2 linked regions of the Ovis aries genome follow. The protein of the gene in region 2 purifies or fractionates together with the protein of the main gene of each other region. This does not show direct contact. Links are inferred from orthologs where the notes say so. Each region holds a gene or a part of one and is shown on either strand. Other genes may lie near its edges.

What was found. The genes of interacting proteins can lie anywhere in the genome.
Region 1: the proteins of HIPK2 (region 2) and AXIN1 purify together in Homo sapiens (affinity purification with western blotting; 3 studies listed by BioGRID). This does not show direct contact. The link is inferred for Ovis aries from reciprocal best matches to the Homo sapiens genes HIPK2 and AXIN1.

Annotation. Positions count from the first base shown.
Region 1 is NC_056077.1:874,289-881,295, reverse strand, and holds part of AXIN1 (axin-1), read left to right. Parts: intron 1-2,541; 5' UTR 2,542-2,624; coding exon 2,625-3,502; intron 3,503-7,007. UniProt on the Homo sapiens protein: Component of the beta-catenin destruction complex required for regulating CTNNB1 levels through phosphorylation and ubiquitination, and modulating Wnt-signaling.
Region 2 is NC_056057.1:104,674,006-104,681,647, reverse strand, and holds the start of HIPK2 (homeodomain-interacting protein kinase 2), read left to right. Parts: upstream 1-3,349; 5' UTR 3,350-3,370; coding exon 3,371-3,389; intron 3,390-7,642. Other genes in the region: putative HTLV-1-related endogenous sequence, read left to right, coding at 2,682-2,879, 2,998-3,349.

The DNA.
Region 1 (7,007 bases), on a different chromosome or scaffold from region 2:
AATCAAAAATTCAAAAGTTGCATTTGAGTAAAACAGATAAATATACACATGCCTACAGCCTTGAGCTGGCTGCCGTGATACCCAGGGGGTGCTCCTTGGCAGTGACTGAAGGAGATTGTAAATGAGGCATCAGGGCTGTAGATTCCTTTTGTGGAGTCCCCTTTGTTGAAGGTGGTTACAGGCTGTTGGCCAGATCCAGCGCCTGTGGGCCCGTGACTCTAATCTGAAGCAAGGCAGCATCTTCATATGTGGTGTGTACGTGGGCACACTGAATGCCTGCCGTGCTTCTCCTTGGGAACCCGGAGATCTCAGTAATGGGAGCGCGTTTCGTAACAACAGCAGTGTGGAGAGATGTTCTTGTGCTTCTGGGACACCGAAGGTCTCCTGTCAGTTGACAGCCCAAAACAGATGTGAATTTTAAGAAACATTTCTTCCGGGCTGTGAGAAGATAGCTCAAATGATTAGGCGGACTTGCTCTCACCCAAATGAAAAGATAGCTCGATGTTGAATTTGCTGCTGTTTCAGCACCTGTGAAGGGCTAATGTTCCGTATCTGTGCCGAGTGTTGTTTTCCTTAATGTTGATGAATTACATGTCTGTTGGTGCCCTTTAGTTGTGGGACCTTGTGTCAGATCCTGTAGGCCCTGCAGAGAACGTTTAAACCAGGCTGCTCCAAGTCTTTTACCTGAAAGAAATCAGCACTTCAAGAGAAAGTGACGTGACTAGTAATCAGCCTCGTCTTAGAACACAGTGACTTGGTTTTTTCTCAAGGCAAGTGAACCACAGAGCATCTCCAGTAGTAAGGCTCAGGGGACCAGGTGAGGGTCCTCCTTCCTGGGATGGTGACCCCGACAAGAGGGCGCTAGCATCCGGGAGCTGGTGTGGAGACCTCAGAGGTGCTCAGTCCCCTTCGACGGGGCTCAGAGGAGGCGACCTTGCAGTTGAAGTGGTCCGTGAGCAGCAGCTGTCACAGCCCATGGGCCTTGACCTGAGAAAGCAGGCTGTTCCTGCCGAGGCCGAGATTGCAGCCGACCCGGTAGGCTAGTCACTAGCTGCAGGACAATAGTTGTGACCCATGCTCCGCCTCTGGGTGCCGTGAGGCGTCGGCAGCTGCTGGCAGGCGAGTGTGTGCAGACCAGGTGTGGGGCAGGTTGCATGTAGGCCAAGGCCCAAGAGTGGAGAGGTGGCTGGGAGGTCTGTACCTTGTGTTGGTGCCAGGTTTTTGGATTTTGCTCTGCTCCTCTGACTTGCTCTGCACTCTCAGCGATTGGGCCTATCACGCTTCTCTCCAGTCTCTTTCTAGGCAGACCACTTACATCCAGCAGGCCAGGTTGGGAGGTGTGGCCTGAGCCCATAAGCTCAGTGTCAGGGAGGACAGGACGCGAGGCTGTGGCAGAGCCCTGGCAGGGCAGCCCTCCCTTGTGCAAGACGGGCTTCTAGCAGCAGAGACAGATCCATGGCTCCCTCACTCCGAGAGGGCGAGTCATGTGGCTTTCACTTTACCGAGCTTCATCCTGTGAGCTGCGGGCTTCCTTAGCTAGTAGGGTTTGGGCCTCGTCTGCTCTGTACCCTCTCTGCTTCTCAGAGTACTCAGTTGCCATTTGCTGTCAGAAGGACTCTTTACTCTTAAGCAAGGTTTTCAAATCTAGAGCACGTCTCTGATGGAAGCATTTTTTAAGACTGTTCATGGGAATTCCCTGGTGGTCCAGTGGGTAGGACTCCACATTTTTACTGCTGAGGGCCTGGGTTCATTCCCTGCTCGGGGAACTAAGATCCCACAAGCTGCCCTGTGTGGCCAAAAAAAATAAAAGCCTTCACATCATTGGCGGTGTGAGAAGGCCGCTGTGCACGGGAGCAGCATCCTGTGCTCACTCACTGGAAGGTTCCGTGCTCTTTGGGGCGTGTGGAGACTTAGAAGAACCAGTCGCTGTGTGTTTGCCCGGGTCGTGGGGACACTCAGTGTGAAGCGGTGGAAAGCAAGAAGCAGAGCGGCTGTGAGCCTGAAGCGCGGGGAGGGCAGACATGGGCGCCAGCCTTCGGTGTGGAGTGCCATGTCTGCGCATCACAGTGGCCCTGTGACGCTGAGATACACACCCTCACCTTCCTCGTGAGGGGCTGGCTCTCACCTGGCTTTGCACAGCTGGAAGGACCAGAAGCTCCTGTGTCTCCTCCAGCCCTCCTGCCTTTCCCGAGCTTGAGAGGGCCTGGCCACGCAGTCCTGTAGCAGCTCAGGATGGAGGGTCCCCAGGCTTATAGTCTCTCTTTGTTCTCACAGAAGGACCCTCAAGGGTAGTGACGCTCTCTGTGTTCTGGACATTGATTTCTTTGTGCCAGAGGCATTCCTGTAGTTGGCAAAGTTTACAGAAATTGTTCTAACATAGTACAAAACCTTGTGACAAAGGATTGAACATTTAAACTGAGTTTCTGGCTTTGAGTTCGAGCGGGAGGGCATCATTGAGAGTCTTGTCGTGAGAAAACCTCTGTGGTCATGTTTCCATGGACCCACCTTTCCTAATCCTTGTCCTCTTAATGGTTTCAACAGGACAGATTGATTCACTTTGGAGCCGTAAGTACTGATGTATTAGGGTGCAGCGCTCATTGTTCATTGACGCACAGAGTCCCAAAATGAATATCCAGGAGCAGGGTTTCCCCTTGGACCTCGGAGCAAGTTTCACCGAAGATGCCCCCCGGCCCCCAGTGCCTGGTGAGGAGGGTGAACTGGTGTCCACAGACCCCAGGCCCGTCAGCCACAGCTTCTGCTCTGGGAAAGGCGCTGGGATTAAAGGGGAGACTTCCACAGCCACTCCGAGGCGCTCGGACCTGGACCTGGGGTATGAGCCCGAGGGCAGCGCGTCGCCCACCCCTCCGTACTTGAAGTGGGCCGAGTCGCTGCACTCCCTGCTGGACGATCAAGATGGCATAAACCTGTTTAGGACTTTCCTGAAACAGGAGGACTGTGCCGACCTCCTGGACTTCTGGTTTGCCTGCAGCGGCTTCAGAAAACTGGAGCCCTGTGACTCGAATGAAGAGAAGAGGCTGAAGCTGGCCAGAGCCATCTATCGCAAATACATCCTTGATAACAACGGCATTGTGTCCCGGCAGACCAAGCCCGCCACCAAGAGCTTCATAAAGGACTGCATCTCGAAGCAGCAGATCGACCCCGCCATGTTCGACCAGGCGCAGACGGAGGTCCAGTCCACCATGGAGGAGAACACCTACCCCTCCTTCCTCAAGTCCGACATTTACCTGGAGTACACGAGGACAGGCTCGGAGAGCCCGAAGCTCTGCAGCGACCAGAGCTCTGGGTCAGGGACAGGGAAGGGTGTCCCCGGGTACCTGCCCACGCTGAACGAAGACGAGGAATGGAAGTGTGACCGGGAGGCGGACGAAGACAGTGGCCGGGGCCCTGCTCCGCCTGGCAGGCTCACGCAGAAGCTGCTCCTGGAGACGGCCGCCCCGAGGGCCTCCTCGAGTAGACGGTACAGCGAAGGAAGAGAGTTCAGGTGAGTCGACCCGCGGCCTGCAGTCCCGTGCCCACCTCCACGACTGGAGACGCAGCCAGGGACAGGCCTTGTCCTTCAGCCCGAGTGGGTGGACTCCCGGAGCCGGGGTGAGTTGTGGGGCTGGTGTTTGCTCACGATACCTTCTTGTGTATTAGGTGTCTTTACGTTTCTTTTTAAATTGTGTGTGTGTGTGTGTGTGTGTGTGTGTGTGTGTGTGTTTTGTTCCCGTGCTCAGGCTTCCCCCGGCTGTGGCGAGCGGGGCTGCCCTCCAGCTGTGGAGCCCGGGCTTCTCCCGTGTTGGCGTCTCTTGTTGCGGCTCATGGGCTTCATAGTTGTGGCGCACGGGCTTGGTTGCCCCGCAGCACGTGGAATCTTCAGGGACCAGGGATCAAATCCCCTGCATTGGTAGGCGGATTCTTAACCACTGGACCACCAGGAAAGTCCCAGATGTTTGTTTGTTTGCCTTCATCAGGTCTTAGTTGCTGGGATCTTTGTTTGGGCCCATGGGCTCAGTAGTTATGGCCTGGGGGCTTAGTTGCCCCAGGCATGTGGGATCTTCATTCCCCAACCAGGTATTGAACTGGAGTCCCCTGCATTGAAAGGGGGATTCTTAACCACTGGACCACTAGGGAAGTTTCCCCTAGATGTATTTAATATTTTGAGGGCCCCTTTATCAAGAAAGATTGAAGGCTGGAGGAGAAGGGGACGACAGAGGATGAGATGGTTGGGATGGCATCACCGACTCTATGGACATGAGTTTGAGGAAAGTCCGGGAGTTGGTGATGAACAGGGAGGCCTGGCGTGCTGCAGTCCATGGGGTCACAAAGAGTCGGACACGACTGAGCGACTGAGCTGACTGACTCACCTATCAAGAACAGCCTAGAATATATGGCTTTGTAAGTCATTAGGCATGTTGGAATTCTTAGGAGTCATGATATTTAAAGCTTACCTTTTAGTAGTAAAATTTGTGTTCTCTTGCACAGAAGGTGGGTTTGTGTGGCAGACTTGATCCTCTTGGCTTGATAGGACATTTGAGTGGTCATTGCGGAGAGAATTCCAGGCCGCTTGGGAGGTGGTGGCGAGGAGGCTGCTGTGCCGCAGGCTGTCCGAGCGCTTTGGGAACTCCCTGTGGCTGCAGTGGGGCTCCAGGATTGGATCTGCACCTCCTGGCCCCCGCCAAGGAAAGGGTTGTGCTGCTGTGTGTTCGGTTCCCAGCTCTCTCCAGTTGCCGTCAGTCCTTGCATGGGGCACGGTGCAGCCTTGGAGGCGTGAGTGGCGCTCTCCAGAAGTCGTTGCCAGTTTGGAAGTGTGCCAGTTTGCTGGAAGTGTGTTTGGTGGGGAGGTGGGGCCTACAGCCGATGTCGGTGGGCACTCGCGTTCTCGGTCATTTCCCTGTCGGTAGGTGGTCCCAGACACGCTTGCCTGCAGAACTGACAGCTGGGGACCCTGTGGCCCTGCCGACTCAGTCGCGGATCTGCAGAGGCACCCCTGGGCGCCGGGCTCTCCCGTGGAGCTGGCCAAAGGCCAGATCGCGTCTCCAGGGTTTCTGTGGCAGATTGGCTACTTCTGACAGAAACAGGGTTCAACTTTCTCAGGGTTTAAATACTCTTTAAGTGGTGTGATGAAAAAAGACACTCTGTTTCAGGTGATCTCTGTGCACCTTTTGCTCACTGTCCTTATCGATTGAGTAATCTTTTCAGGACAGAATATACTATAGAATTATCCTGGTGAGGACGGCTAGTAAGTGACAATAGCTTTTAAAACCTAACACGGAAGTTTTCATATTTGATTAGAACAGTTTTAAAATGGGATTATATTTGAGGCCTGGGCTGCAGAGGAAAACACATTGAGCTCAGTTCTGATTTCTGATTTTGGAACTTCCACGTGCTACCCTCACACTTCCCAGTTCTCAGTCGGGGGCCCGTTGTAGCAGCAGCCTTGCTTTTTCTCTCTTCGGTTTGCTCTGTTCATAGTATGTACCCTTTACTGTCCAATTGCGGGAACATGTTCAGCTGTGAGGACTCCGGCACGTGGAGGTGCTGGCGCCACAGGGACCTGGCGCCCCCGAGTCCTGCCTGCGCCCCCGAGTCCTGCCTGCACTGGGACGTGCCCCTCCCAGGGCTGCCTGTGTGGGTGTGTGGATGGGCGCCCTCCCGTGTCAGCGCCAGTGTCCGTCAGCACTGACAGGCTGTGGAGTCCAGCACAGTCCACTCGCTTTGCAGGGCTTGCGGTTAGGGTCCATGCGGTTGAAAGTCACAGAAAACCCAGCCCGCCCGGCTTCCACAGTGAAGACGTTGGGCTGGCCCAGATAGACGGAAAGTCCGGAGCGGGCCCAGCTTCAGGTGCGGTTTGATTCTGACTCCAGCCATGTTTCTTTTAAAGACGCGATTTTGTTTTCGTTGTCTTTTAGGGCAGTTTTACGTCCCCAGCACAGTTGCGAGGAAGGTGCAGAGGCTTCCCGTGTGCTCTCGCCCTGCGCGTGCACAGCCTCCCCCGCCCCCCCATCAGCACCCCACCCAGAGTGGCCAGTTAACAGCGGACGCCGCCGCCGCTGAGTCGCTCCAGTCGTGTCCGACCCTGTGCGACCCCACGGACGGCAGCCCACCAGGCTCCCCCGTCCCTGGGATCCTCCAGGCAAGAACACTGGAGTGGGGTGCCATTTCCTCCTCCAATACGTGAAAGTGACGTCGGTCAGTCCTGTCCGACTCTTAGCGACCCCACGGACGGCAGCCCACCAGGCTCCCCCATCCCTGGGATTTTCCAGGCTGTCTCTAATGTAGAGACAGTAAGCTCTGCTGTCTCCATGGTCTTGTCTTTTCTGGACACCGTGGAGTTGGAAGTAGACAGTACGTAACCTGTTCACATTGGCTTCTCTCACTTGGTCATGCGCTTTTAAGGTTCCCCAGTGTCCTTCTGTGGCTTCGGCCCTGAATAATATTCCACTCTCTGGGTGGACCACAGTGTGCGTCTCCATTCGCCAGCTAGAGGACTTCCTGATGGGTCCAGTTTTCGGCAGCTGTGGCTAGAGCTGCAGTAAGCCCCTGTGTGTGGGCTTCTGCGAGGACGTGGGCTTTCGTCTGCTGTGGGTGGAACGTCCGGGGTCGTGGGCGCTGGCCCGGGTGGGGGGCCGGCTTTCCGGGGGCCGCTCTTCTCTGGGCGCTGCTCTGCCTGCCTGCCCACGGCCGGCTTTGCTCCCGGGTTCTGTAAACGACTGCCCCCGCGGCTGGGGCTGCTGCGAGCCTGGGCTCCAACCAAGTAGGGCCGCCCCGCTCTGCCCAGCGGGGAGGGAGGAAGAGAGTGGGTGCTGGTGCCCGCCCCCGCCGCCCACTTGGAGGGGCAGCACGCGCCATCTCGGCGCGGCCGCTGCTGGAGAGAGTGTCAGGAGGGCCTGTCTGGGACAGAATGACAGCAGAGGGCCCCAGAGCTGAGCTCCCCGGCCCCGCGGGCCCTGTGCCGTGAGGCTGCTCCGGCGGCGCTTGCTGGGGCCGCCCCGACTCCCCGGGCC
Region 2 (7,642 bases):
ATCCAGTATGGCAGCCACTAGCCATATGTGGGCTATTAAAATTAACTAAAATGAAAAATTCAGTTCTTCAGTCACACCAGCCACACTTCATGCACTCCACAGCCAACCAAGGGTTACATTTCCATTCCTGCAGAAAGCTCTATTTGGTAATACTGGAAAGGGATGAGAGATAAAACCTGCATGGTAAAGGTCATGATAGAGACTTACAGGGAGCATGGAGGAACAATTACTATTCATGTTATAATCAAGATGTGGAAACTGAAGCTCCGAGAGCATAAACTATTTTATCAAATTCACACAGCTACTAAGTGGAAGAGCTGGGATTGGAACCCAGGCCTGTCTTAATCTCATGCTCCCTCAGGCTGTTTTGTGGAGGAAATGAGTCAGGCACAGGTAGAGTCTGTTTAAAGACAGAAGATGGAGAAGCCATCCTTGGTGGGGAAGTAGCAGCTTCGACAAAGGCACAGATGGGCAAGGCTGGCAGAGGACCATGAGGGAACCAGTACGGCTGGAGAGGCAGTGACTTGCTGAACTCAACTCATGTGCTTAAAAAGGTAAGTCAGAGCCTGCCTGCCTTGATTAAGAGCCAAGAAGCAAGGAAATTCAGCTCTGAGCACAGAGGTTGACTCTTTGAAGGATGTTAACAGGAGCATGGCATGGACAAAGCTGTGTGTTTTGAAGGCGGAAGTGCTTAGGGTAAACTGGGCTGTGACCTGTAGATGACAGGGGGATAGAAGGAAGGGATGAATGATGGTGTGAAGCAAAAAACACCAGAGTGGGAGCCAAGAGCTTAACCCCAAGGTTGATTGATTGATCGACTAATTGATTGGTTTTACTCTCTCCCTTTTTTTAAATTTTAATTTTATTGGAGTATAGTTGATTTACAATGTGGTAGTTTCAGGTGTACAGCAAAATAATTTCAGTTATATATTTATATTCATTCTTTTTCAGATTCTTTTCTCATATAGGTTATCACAGAATATTAAGTAGAGTTCCCTGTGTTATACAGTAGGTCCTTGTTGGTTATCTTATGTATATTTGTGTGTATATGTCCAAAAGTTTGTTTTCAATATCTGTAAATGTTTCTTTTATTGTAAATAAGTTCATCTATATCATTTAAAAAATTAGATTCTACATATGAGTGACATCATATGATATTTGTCCTTCTCTCTGACTTACTTCACTCTGTATGATAATGTCTAGATCCATCCACATTGCTGCCACTGGCATTATTTCATTCTTTTTATGGCTGAGTAATATTCCATTGTATATATGTGCCACATTTTTATCCATTCTTCTGTTGACGGACATTTAGGTTGATTCAGTGTCTTGACTATTATGAATAGCACTGCAATGAACACTGTGGTGCATGTATTTTTTTCAGTTATGGTTTATCTCCAGATATACACCCATGAGTGGGATTGCTGGATCATACAGTAGTTCTAATCTTTAGTTTTAAAAGGAATCTCCATACTGAACCCCAAGATTTAACACTGTGTATCACTGGACAATATACTTCATTTCCCTGGGCCTCATCCTTTCAGTTCTAAAAGGGCATGGCTGGCCCAGATGATTTCTAGAGCCCCTTCAGCAGTGGTAGTCAAGGATTCTGCAAATCAGAATGACATTAGGCTCAGAGAAGCAGTGCAAAGTGTAGCATTAAATATGGGGACAAGGAAGACAGCAGAGTCAAAGGTCATCAGTGGCAAAGGGGGAATGATGTGCTCCTAACAAAACAAGGTGAGTGTATAAAAGGGCTTGTCTTTGGAGGTTTTTTTCAGACGGGGTTTGTCACAGGGCGTGGAGATGGGGAAGGATAAGTAAGAGGTGGCAGGAAAATAATCATTTGTTCATTATTTTACATCCCCCAAATACAGACTTTAAACTTTTTTTTTTTTGGACCCATGACCCATAGCAGGAAATACAACTTGTATCCTGGTCCAGTGCAGTTGTCTAGTATATATAACTGAAACAAAGGGTTTATGAAACAATTATTCTAAGGGCAGTGGCATCTAATACTTTCTATTCTAGTACATTTCATTATTTTAAAAAGTTGGTTGCCGTCCACTGAATGTCTGTTATGATCAATTACTGCGTCACGACCCACAGTTTTAAAAACCCTGCCTAAGAGTAAGATCAGGTCTTAAGTTGGGGGCGATGGCAGGCATCCCATCAAAGAACCCAAGACTAGCTGCAGGAGGGGACTGGCAAGCCTCGGGGAGTCTGGAGCGCGTCTGAAGCTCTGTGAGGCAGAGCGTTGAGGAAGGCAGAGGCCTGGGAAACAATCGGTGGCAACCACTCGTCTAGGTGATAGGGGTTGGGGATTAACCCTCCAGACCTCGTAGACCTGAGGATGGGGGCGGAAACCAGATTCCCGCAGGAATCCAGCGAACATCCGAAGGCTGCATTTCATAAGCGTGCGCCGAATGGCTCCCGCATCTCTGACCTCATTTGGGCTTCCAAAGCTCCTCCACTCACTCGAGAGTCCGGGGAGGACCGCGTGCGCCCACTCCTCCATTCATTCATTCATTCCAAACCCATCTCGGGGAGCGCCAACCAGGTGCGAGAAAGGGCGAGCCGTCGGCGGCCGAGGCTTCCCTTCCAGTCGGTTCCCCTCCCGCCCAGCTCGCATGCACACAAAGTTCTGGTGCCACCCCCGCGGACCGGCTCCCCCTTGCCAGTCAGAACCAAAGCGCGTGCACCGCCGCCCGGCGGAGCCGCCTAACCTCCCCGGCTTCCCGGGATCCGCCCCCCACCCACCGCCTCCCCGCACCAGCCCGGCCGCTCCTGCCCTGCGCTCGGCCTTCCCCGCCTCGCATCCGTGCCATCGGCGCTCGATTGCGCGCGGACTCCTGGCTCCGGGCTCGCTCGTCGCTCGCGCTCGGCCGCCGCTCCCGCCCCCGGCCCCCGCCCCCCGCCCCTCCCCCGGCTCCTCCCGCCCCTCCCCCGCCTCCCGTGCAACTTTTGCCGGAGCGCCCCCCTCCCCAACACACACAGCCATGCTGAGCTGAGCCCCGGCCGGGGACTGGCCGCGCGCTGCCCGCCCCGGCTCCCGCCCCACCGCGGACCCGCTCGGGGGCCGCGGCCGCTCGGCCCTCGGCCTCGGCCGCTGCGCCCGCCCGGCCGCCCCCCGGAGCCCCCGGGAGCCCCGCGCAGGGCCCGGGCCGCGGCGGCGGCGGCGGCGGCGGCGCCCGGCCCCCTCCCCCGGCGCCGGCCAAGTGAGGCGGTGATGCGGGCGCTGGCGGCCCCGGCTGCGCCGAGAGCGGAGACACAGGCTCAAGATGGCAGATTCCGACTGAGGCTGGGGGGGCCGAGCTCGCGCGCCGCGATCCCTTCTCCGTTGCCATGAATCGCGGACACCCCGGCCCCGATGGCCCCCGTGTACGAAGGTAAGCGGCGCCCGCCCGCCGACTCCGCCGACCCCCGGCCGCCCGGCCGCCCGGCCCCCGGAGCTTTGTTCTGCCCGCGGCCCCGCGCCGGGCAGCACCTCCCCACCCCCGGCCCGCAGCCCCCCGGCGCCGGGTCCCCGCGCCCCACCCCCGGGGCTCGAACCGGTCGCCCGCCCCCCTCCCCGCCACCCCCTCGGTCGCCCGGCGATCGGCCGGGATCCGGAATCAAACAGATCTTATTTCCAGGATGGAGAAAGAGGCGGGGGGTGGGGTGGGGGGTGTGCGAGGGTGGGCTACTGGCCGAAGAAAAGAAATTGGGTGGGAGGGGGCGCCAGGAAAAAAGACAGACCCGTGACGGTGCTTTTTATTTATTTGTAAGAAATAAAGGTGATGCGGTGTAGCTTTCCATCTCCACCCCCCCCACACCCTAAAGAAAATTACCTTTAGGGTGATCTGTTTCCACTCTCCGTCCTCCCAGCTCCCTTCCCGTTTCCCTCCACTCCCCCCCCCCCCCACCCCCCGCAACACACACACACAAACACACACTCCTTTATTCTTCGCGAGCCTCAGATTTTGGGGGGCTGTCGGATCGGAATGTGCGGGGCTAGGTGATGAGAGGGGGGCAGAGAGGAAAAGTCCATTTCAGAGCCAGGCAGAACAATGAAATAGGCGAAAATCTCCCCGCATTAGCGTGTGTAAGGGAAAATGTAGTTTGGGTTTGCCAGTCGGGGAGGCGGCCAAGACGCTGGTCTCCGCCGGTCTGGGTAAACCTGCGCGGTGCACCTTCACCTGGCGTCGGGTCCTTTTTCTCGTCTGTCTTTAGGAAGAAAGACAAGAACGGAAGGCAGAAATACTCCGTTTCCCCTGCAGTCCCTCTTTCGTTTCTCTTCAGTCAGTTCTGTCAGTTTCCAGCCAGAAATCAAACCGGAATCAACTAAGTTTTTACACTTCGATGTGTGTTTTGTGTGTGTGTGTGTGTGCTTGTAGTAGGAGGGATTTTGAACCAAAGGGTGTTTGATTTTTTTTTTCAGTCATTTTCCTCGTGAAAATGTCTTTCTCATGAAATCATTGAAGTAGCAGCCTTTACATACTTTGAGCGTCAGTCCATCTGGCTTTCTTTCGGTTTTGTTCAGATACCCTGTGGATGAAATAGCAAATGAGAGGAGGCAAGGGTTTGTGCGGAATGAAGAGGAGGGGCGAGGTTTTAATCCTCTATAAATCCGGAGAACAGTCGTGGCCAGTGAGACAGGGAACGCATTAATAGTTTTATCTCTGTTATAAAGGCAGATTAGAAAAAAAAAAACAAAACTTATCTGAAAAGAAAATCTGTTATTAGTTCCAGAGCTCCAAATGAATTAGGTTTCTGGATGGAATAAAGTTACCAGTCAGGCTGGGTAACGAGGCTGTAAATAACCTATGGACTGTAAATATTTTTTTTCAGACTCTCTTAGAAACAAAGGGGCCTGTTTAGAAGGCAACAGAGAGATGTTATTCCAGGGGCTTTCCTCTTTGATTCTGAAGAACACAAGGTCCATTTAACCATTCAACAAAACAAAACAAAATTTCTGATCACTCCACCACACAGAATGGAGCCAGCCCGGTGGCTCTGTGAACATACTAGGAGGACCCAGTCGGGCATTCATTGTTCCTCTGAGTCTCTGGGAGGGGGCTACAGTCAATGCTCCCACTGTCTATGGAGTGTTAAAATGAAACAATTTTCTCTTTATTAAGTACCTCTTTGAGACTCCCTCTGCTGGACACTCCGGGTGAGCATTGGAGAAGGAACTTGGCATTGAATTCAGAACTATAGTAAAACAGGCTGCTTTCCCTTTCTCAAGGGGCTGGGTATGTGGGTTGGGAGGTATTTTGTCAACTTTGTAGAAAGCCGTCCTGGGAACCGTGCTGTTCCCCTCCTGTTCTCCTCATCTAAATCCATACGGAATGTAGGCCATCCCCCTGCGGCTAAGCCTTGGCACTAAGGCTCTTCCTACCCTGCTCTTTTAGCGCATGACACCAGATAAAGACCTGTGGGTGTGGAAGACGTTGTGGTTTAAGCATAATCTCAGATCTCAAAGGTTTCGAGCTCACTTTTTTTATTTGCAAGCCTGCCTTCTGTGTCCCAGCTGACCTATGTGGTCGCTTCTGCCACCCCTGGGCCCCTCAGTCTTGTGTGTGTGCTCTCTTGATCATTCCTGTGCATTGTGCCCTTTGATTCTGGGAGAGTTTCTTCGAATCTTTGTAATTCTTCTCTTCCTCCTCACCCCTTTTGAACCAGTCCAGCATCACTGCCCGAGCTCAGGCCTGGGTCTTTTTTGAAAGCAGCTGTTGGTCATGCTCTAAAGCAGACAGGTGACCCCTCTAATCAGGCATTGCGCTGCGGAACCCACATTTACTTCCTGTGATGAGTGCCTCTAAGACTTCAGTGACCTCCTTTTTCCCTCCTTTGGCAACGCCCCCTGCATTTAGGGAACCTGATTTTTACCACATCCCGGTCGGAGCACATGGACTCCTTGTGTGTATCCCAGAGGAGCAGGGCTTTTCCTGTGGAATTCTCCAAGAGCGATTTCTGATAGTTTTCACCCTTCTAAAAGGTTTGAACCCTGGATTCTTCTCAGGAGAAGGATAATGACAGGTGAGGCATTTAAGCCAGAATTCAGGGGTATATTCATTTATTTAAATAGGGTGCAATTGCCCGAGGCTAGGATTTGATGTAAAGGCCTGAGTGCATTAGTGGAGCATCCTAAACTGCCAGGTATTTAGAGAGAAGTGATCTGTTTGAAACAGGGTATGTTTGATAATACAAATCAACGGGTAGGAAAGTGTGATCAGCCTTCCACAGCCTGCTTTTAAGGATAGGTTTCTAAATAGCATAGTAGTTTTCAATGGCTTGGTACTGATGAAGTTAAACTTCTTTAAAAAGGTTTATTTTCTTTAGAAGGTTAACCATTCTCCTTGCAGTTATGTTTACTCCATCAACTTGCTTTGCAAGGCTTTTTCCAACATTTAGTGCAGAGGCCAACCACAAAGGTTTCTAGTGCCACAGGTGCTAAATTAGAGGACCCTAAACTGTATTCTGCTCTCCCTGGGCCGTGCCTTGTCCACTATTGTTGGCTCATACAGTCAGACTTCCCCAAACTGTAGCATCAAAGTCTGTCATCAGATGGGCCTGAAGACACCTACCAAGAAATGGATTCTGAATCATCTTCCATTAAAAGAATTTGATGACACATGTTCAGAAATATCTTTTCCTGTGTTTATGTTTTATATTTTTAAAAATGAGTGAGTATAAATATTGTTTTCCTTCTTACCACATTTGAGAAGTGAATCAAGGCTCATTAATTAATTTTAACCCCTGATCCTGGACAGTGTGGTATAATACTCGAATCAGAGAAACCTGGGCTTTGACCCTAGCTGTATGGCTTTGGGCATGTTACTTAACTTCTCTGAGCTTTTTTTTTTTTTCCCTTCTTTTCAAAGCCTTATTTGATTGTTCCAGGGCTCCATTAGAAATAAGTATATGTAAAGCATCGGGCTGTAGTAGGCATTTTCTCAGTACATGTTAAATCCCTCTATCTTTTGAGCTGCTTACAGGCATGATGACTCCAGGGAAAGAATAAGCCACAAATAGTTTAGAAAACCAATAATAGCAACATTTCAATTATTAATCTCCTGCCATTCCTTTTCCAGTTTGGACACCAGCAACAATAAGCCCCCTATGGCCAGGGAAGAAAGAGCCTCTTTTGACCCTCTCTGTGACCTTTCCAGACTCTTTATTCCCACTGAGCTTCTGCTGGTTTCAGGTAGAGGATTTCTCTTCTCCCATGGCACATTCTCTGCAACTCTAAAAATGAAGCAACAAACCATTCAAACTGAGTTTCAGGGGCTGCAGCTGTGCCTCTGGGGAAATATCCCAAGGTGTGAAAGATAATCTTTGCCCTTTATCAGGATCCATTGGTAAACCAGACTGCCAGCCAGGAAAGGGAGCGCCCTGAGGTGGCTTACTTACCAGTGGCCTCCTCAGAGGGGAGACATCCACCCGATCACAAGCCAGGGACTAGATCCATGCACCTAACGTGATTTTCCTACAAAAAAAAATTTGGTGCTTTTTGCAAGTTGCAGCTGCTTGTATTCTTCATATGTTATTTTTTGTTTCTTTATTTCTTCCTTCCTTGCGTAGAGACCGATCTTGAAGGAACCACCTTTGAGTGGAACAAAGTAGCGACGCTCGAAAGGGTATGATATGTGAACTTTTT